2 linked regions of the Tribolium castaneum genome follow. The protein of the gene in region 1 interacts with the protein of each later gene in a biochemical or structural test. Links are inferred from orthologs where the notes say so. Each region holds a gene or a part of one and is shown in the gene's direction. Other genes may lie near its edges.

The links.
Region 2: the proteins of transcription elongation regulator 1 (region 1) and SF1 form a complex in vitro, tested with the Homo sapiens proteins (3 studies listed by BioGRID). The link is inferred for Tribolium castaneum from reciprocal best matches to the Homo sapiens genes TCERG1 and SF1.

Annotation. Positions count from the first base shown.
Region 1 is NC_087397.1:11,590,960-11,595,446, forward strand, and holds the start of transcription elongation regulator 1, read left to right. Parts: upstream 1-1,515; 5' UTR 1,516-1,628; coding exon 1,629-1,777; intron 1,778-1,823; coding exon 1,824-2,214; intron 2,215-3,935; coding exon 3,936-4,176; intron 4,177-4,224; coding exon 4,225-4,487. UniProt on the Homo sapiens protein: Transcription factor that binds RNA polymerase II and inhibits the elongation of transcripts from target promoters. Regulates transcription elongation in a TATA box-dependent manner.
Region 2 is NC_087400.1:3,267,629-3,270,037, forward strand, and holds the end of SF1 (splicing factor 1), read left to right. Parts: intron 1-74; coding exon 75-187; intron 188-238; coding exon 239-405; intron 406-671; coding exon 672-830; intron 831-890; coding exon 891-1,505; 3' UTR 1,506-1,623; downstream 1,624-2,409. Other genes in the region: uncharacterized protein LOC659501, read right to left, coding at 1,758-1,950, 1,996-2,409. UniProt on the Homo sapiens protein: Necessary for the ATP-dependent first step of spliceosome assembly. Binds to the intron branch point sequence (BPS) 5'-UACUAAC-3' of the pre-mRNA. May act as transcription repressor.

The DNA of each region.
Region 1 (4,487 bases):
TCTTAACGGCAATCGAAAGAACATCAATATTTATGGTGACTTTTATCAATACATTCTATACTTATTATCTCTTACAGTTTTTGAAAAAACTCACAAGAAACGGATTTTACTTCGTAATTTTTATAGTAATCAAGTAGACCTTGCAAATTCGTCAACAATTGTCAACTTGAACATTTTATTTAATTTTTTGACTGATTTATTAATTATCTAATAAGCAGTAAAATATTAATATTTAATTATGGTTTATTATCATAATTTATGTAAAGTAACTCATTCAGTCTGCCATCGAATTTTGAACTTCTTGAATGAAAACGGTGATCAAATAGAATTTTTTTTTAATTAATAGCACAATTTTATCATATTTTTCGAAAGTTTAGTTGATTAAAAATGAAAATAATTAGGTAAAATTCAATTTCTTGCGATTATTCCAAAATCTGTAAGAGATAGATATACAGGGTGCTCAAAAACTGGCGCACCAACTCAGTGGTACGTTATTGAGAAGCAAGTGCAGATTACGGGAAAAATGTTGAAAAAATTCCTAAAGTCGTATTTTAAAAAATCTGAAGCTACAAACCTATTGTGTTAACTTCTTTAGTTTTCATTATTTTTTTATATTATTATGTTTCATACCAGGTAATCGTTCCGTAACAAAACGATGAACAATTATTTTAAAATTTACTATCAGATTTTAGCAGTTTTTTAAATTTAAAAAAACTAAAATTCATCCAAAAAATCACAATGTGTAGATGTGCCAATACTGGGAATTATTTCCTAGGAAACCGTTTCAAAAATAATTTATTTTTATTGTTGCTCAAATTCTATTGCGATCATGACTATTAGACAACGTTGCCACATATCATTTACCTAAAATTAGTTATTTATCAATAACTTTAATACAAAGAATTTTTTTACTATTTTTACCTTTATATGTAACCACTTCTCTGCCACACACCATTGAGTTGGTGCGTCAGTTTTTGAGCACGCTGTAGAAGACTGTTTTATAATCATTTTTTAAATTATTTATGCACTTCAAAAAATTGATAGATAATGTAATTTATAGTTTCAATAAGAGATCTAATAATTTTATTTTACTGTTTTACTATTTTACAATTTTATCAATCTCATTTAAAAAAATAATTCGGTAAAAAATGCGACGTTGGCGTTTATAGTTTTGAAACAGCTAATACTAACAACTAGGGTATATTTTACTAATTCAAAAATGCAATAAAAATAGGTGGTTACTATTTGAAAATTTAAAGAATCAGCCTGTATGAAATGATCATTTGTGGTATTTCTTTGTTGGCGAAAATGTTTTATTTTTTTAAGGCGTTTAAATAAATTATGCGGAACAGTCGGTGGGCAGTGTTATGTTTTAAAATTTGTTGTTTTAATTATTGTTTTTAAAAGAAAATTTATGTAGAAATCATCCAAAAAATTCAAACCTAATTTCGCGCGACTTTTGGGGAAAATTTGTCGCTTGTGGTTGGTATCTGGGAATCAACAAACAAAAAACGCGCATGCGCATTAACGTCATAAACCGAAGAAGTGCATTTGTTGACGCCATTTTCCGAAAAATAAATCTTAATTGACTCTAAATGGCTAAATCGATTGAAATTAAATAAAACACAATGGAAGAAACAGACGTCTCCATGGAATACGACGGCGCCGACGTCGACGGCGTCGCCCAAGAGGAATACGAAGAGGACGGAGGCTTCGAAAACGACATTGAACTCGGAGATGACTTCCAAATGCGAGGCCGAGGACCTTCAGGGTTCAGGTATTCAAGTTTTAAACCGCCACACTTCCTAACGGTGTGATTACAGGGGCCGCGGACGCGCGTGGCCGGGTCCTCCAGGTCCGCCAGGACCGCGTGGAGAAGGTCCCCGGTTTCGAGGAAGGGGATTTGGGCCCGGTGGCCCTCCTCCGTTTCGTGGACGTGGAGGACCACCTCCTCCGATGTTTGGACGTGGGGGACCTCCCAGAAACCCACCACCAGGGCAGGGATTCAATGGACCTCCGAATTTTAATGGGCCTAACTGGGGAGGACCGATGGGGCCCCCGGGGACGATGGGTGGACCGCCCAATATGATGGGACCCAATGGACCGCCGTTCGGACCACCGGGCATGATGGGGGCGCCCCCGGGTGGACCCATGGGCGCTCAGGGCGGGACGACCAATGGGCAGTTTCCACCAGTAGGGCAAAATCCCACAACAGTAAGTTTTTTCGACGAGATTTTGCGAATTACCATCTTTTTGGAATTCGAATTTTTCAAGTTTATCTGTTCGAGTTATCAAATAATAAATACAGATAAGAATTTCACGTAGGGTTTCTATTGCCTACACTTTGTTTTTCTTGATTTAAAGTCTAGGTATTCCCGGGAAATATCGAATTATTACTAAATCTTAATCAAATAAAGAATTAAACTAGACTTTTCCAAACATTTTCAATAAAGATAAACACTTTCTTAAAATAGACCTGATATAACATTAAATTTTGCGGAAAACATGTCACCAAAAATAAAGTAGAATATAATTTATTTCGTAGTTTAACCCATCGAGAGTTCATCGGACGATCGGAGATTTGATTCTTCGGAATATCCTGATTATCCGTAGTTCATCTTTATGTAAAAATAACATAATTTTTGCTTTTTCCGTGTGCTGAAGCACGTTTGTTTGTCACTTCGATACATATTTTTTTCGAAAAATTGGCTGATCAACATTTCAAATCCAAACTGACATTATTTTGACTTGTATTACTCGATTAACACGTTTATGAACAAACCAAAAAAAAAAAAGGTAAAATAGGATTGAAACAATATATTATTATACGAGTTTTATAAGACGTTCTATTGCGGCACGAATGGTTTTGGAGCACGACGAAGCAGTGCTCCAATAGAATGAGTGTCACAATTAAGTCTTATAAAACGAGTGTAATATACTATTTTCTATTTTTGTTTGTTTCTGTTTAGTTTAACTTATCAAAATCTGTTCAAACTATTTTCTCTTAATTTTGTTAATTGTTCTTTTTCAATAAACGGCTTGACGTTGTTGATAGATCACACTAAATTACAGTGATGACTGATGACACCCAGCGCAGAACTGTCAATATAACTACAAATTTACTAAAAGGAGTTGTACAAAAGTTCTCTTTGTAAAACTAACAAGCGTTCATTTAAGAAGTGCTTTGAAAATAAAAAACAATTGATTACAAATGTTTGTGATTAATTCGTTCTTTTATAACTTTACTTTTTGGCAGTTAAAAAGATAACAGATTTTCATAAAGATATTTATTTATTATTTATAAAAACTTTTGGAAATGTTTTTTTTTGTTGTTTAACACACGTAACACATGGCCTTTGAACACTATTTATCACTCATAGGTTATGATGTTATGAATTTTGGTGAACTCGTGTAGTAGGAAATATCAGGCCATTCGGAGAGTTTTCTTAATAATGAACACATGATACTTTCAGTTTCACAATGAATAATTTGTGAAACCAAAGTAGAAAAAATTTTACCTTTCCAAACTTTTAAGACCTTTAAGCTGGTATTTGAATCAAAATCTCACCGTTTTTTTGCGAGATGTCATTAATACATACAGAAAAATCGCCAAATTACATTATTTTTGCCTTTTGGAGCGTTTTATCTTTTTTTAGCTATAAGCGGAATTACTTCGCAAGCCGAATAAGCACTAAATGGAACCAAAAATTGAGTTATTTTTTCACACTTTCAAATACATTTTTGAGTTACATATTTAGTTTTTTTCTTGTGAGTTTGCTGCACCGTGCTGAAAAATGACTAAATTAATTATTTTATTTAATTTTATAGCCTCGATATTATTTTTCCTCTTTCGTATGTTTTACCACTTTGTAAATAATAATTTATTATTTATCGAAGTTCGACTACAAGAATTCAATTGTAATTGTTTTTTGCAGGGGTTAGATGCAAATAGTGAAATTTGGGTAGAGACTAAAACCTCAGAAGGCAAGTCATATTTTTATAATGCTCGTACTAGAGAAACCACTTGGACTAAGCCAGAAGGTCCTAATGTAAAAGTAATCTCTCAGGATCAAGTGGAAGCAATGGCACAAGCGGCCACCACAGGTTTAGCCCAAGGAACGTCAACTGCAGCTCAGGCGGCGTTAGCGCAGGCTAACGTTTCAAATAAACCTGAAGGTACCTCTAATCCAATTTCTATCCCAAAAAAATTAACGAGAAATTTAGTTGAGTCAGAGGAATCGAAAGGCGATGCCAAACAAGCTGGGAACGCAATGCCTCAAAACATGTTAGCGGGTCCTCCGCCAGGTATGCCCCCATTTGGGGGTCCCCCAGGTCAGTTTGGAGCGCCTCCATTCGGCTTACCACCGCCAGGATTCCAAGGGACATGGCCGGCTCCAGGTCAAGCAGCATGGGCAGGGGGGCCACCAGGGGCTGCTCCGTGGGGTATGCCGCCAGGTCTTCTTACAGGTTTACCAGGAGCTATCCCA
Region 2 (2,409 bases), on another chromosome or scaffold:
TTTTTTATTTAATAATTGACACATTTTTTGACCCTTTGTTTAATTTTTTCCTTTAATTGAATTATTTGTTACAGTTGTAGACCCCCTGTGGTTCGTGTAAGTGATAAAGTTATGATACCGCAAGAGGAACATCCTGAGATTAATTTTGTAGGTTTGTTGATTGGTCCAAGGGGGAATACGTTAAAAAGTTAGTATTATTTTATCATTTTTTTGCAATTTTTTATTGATTTTTTCGCAGCAATGGAGAAAGAAACTGGGGCTAAAATTATTATCAGGGGTAAGGGAAGTGTCAAAGAGGGTAAAGTTGGACGAAAAGACGGACAACCACTTCCCGGTGAGGATGAACCCTTGCATGCCTACATCACGGCCACGAATCCTGAATGCGTCAAGAAGGCCGTGGAACGGGTGAGTTTGACATTTGTTGCCATAGTAACTTCAGTTGTCATAGTAACGAAAGTTATTGTCATAGTAACGCCAGTTATTGCCATAGTAACGTCAGTTATTGCCATGGTAACGCCAGTTATTGTCATAGTAACGCCAGTTATTGCCATAGTAACGCCAGTTATTGTCATAGTAACGCCAGTTATTGCCATAGTAACGCCAGTTATTGCCATAGCAACGCCTGTTTATTGGCATGGTAACGTAACTTGTTTTTTTTTCTCTTATGACAGATCAAGGAGGTTATACGTCAGGGAGTGGAAGTCCCCGAAAACCAAAACGACCTTCGCCGAATGCAATTGCGTGAGTTGGCACAACTGAACGGCACATTGCGCGAAAATGACGGAATGCGTTGTAACAACTGTGGCGCCACTGACCACAAATCTTGGCTGGTAATACCAACCTAAACCTTGCAAAAAAAACACCAAATTATTATTATTATTTTTTTTTAGTGCCCCGATAAACCAAACGTCACCAACAACATTGTCTGTTCGAGTTGTGGGGCTGCCGGCCATATCGCACGCGACTGTCGTCAGAAGCGTCCCGGCGCCGGGGGCCCCCCTGTCCCCGGCGGCGAAAAGAACAAAATCGACGAGGAGTACATGTCGTTGATGGCGGAGTTGGGTGAGGCGCCGCCCCCGGAGGCGGTCGCTACCACCACCACCACGACGACGACGCGTAAATCGAGTTTTAATTTGTTTGATTCGCCGATGACGCCACGCCCATTGATGCCGCCTCCGATGCCGACGCCTACTGCGCTTCAGTGTATGAATGGTATGGCGCCGCCTCCGTGGACGGTAGCGGCACAGAATATGAGTTGGCAGCCGGGACCGCCGGGCATTATGCCGCCGCCACCGCCGCCAGGAGCCTCCAGTCCGCCACAGATGATGCAATGGATGGGGGCGAATAATCAGCCGCCGCCGCCTGGGGCAAGTACGACGAATGGGACTATGCCGTGGCAAGCGGCGGCGTTCACGTGGCCGCCGGGGAGTTGTCCGCCACCGCCGCCACCAGGGATTGATGTTAATAGCTTGTTGACGACGCCGCCGCCACCGCCGCCGTCGTAAGAGATATGAAGATTGCACGTGGTATTTACCGTAGGGTAGTTAAATAATTATGGGATTTCATTATTGTATTTAATATTGGTATCAATTATTAATTCTTCAATATAATGTGTATTATGGATTTTGTTTTCTTTCCTAATATCACTGCCCTTCCAAAAAACATCGATTATTATTAAGAAAGTGCGTAAAAATTTATAAGGTAAGTAAGAGACCACATAATTTCTATGAATATATATTTTTTTTATTTAAAAATTATTACAATTCTTCCTTGGTACTACCAAAATTTTCACTATCCATTAACCCCAGAGAATTCCAAAAATCCCTAGCCCCGCTAAGGTCACCACACGTTTTGACCTTTATTTCCCCATCTTCAAGACCTCCAATATCAAGGTATGTCAACTGGTCTCCTTGAGTTGGCCTCCAATCGGCCCCTTTTATGACCGGAGTCCTAAAATTTTCTATAATTTTTTTCCCTCAGAAAATTTGGTAGTACCCTGTTTTGGCATAAGTGACCAACATGTCCAACATAACGTCCTTCATTTTCAATTCGTTCTCAGTCAAAGGTCTTGGTACGAAAACACTGCCAAAAAAGTACTTGGCATCGTCACCATGACCTACAACTTTGAGTTGGTTGAAGTCTCCAAAATAGGTAAAAAAGTAATAATAGACTGGCGATTTGGCGGTTTTGGCCTGAAGTTTGGTTGCACTTTCGGAATCAATTAGGAAAATACGGTCGCTGAACATTTTGGTAAATTTATCGGAATTTTCCTGAGTCAGTTTTTGGTTTTTGCCCAAATAGTACTCTAAAATCTGCTCAGAAACTCTCTCATGTTGACTTGGGGGCAAAGTGTGAATAAATTCAAAGAATGTGGGGGCTAGACTTTCCCAGTTTTGGTAAATATGGTCC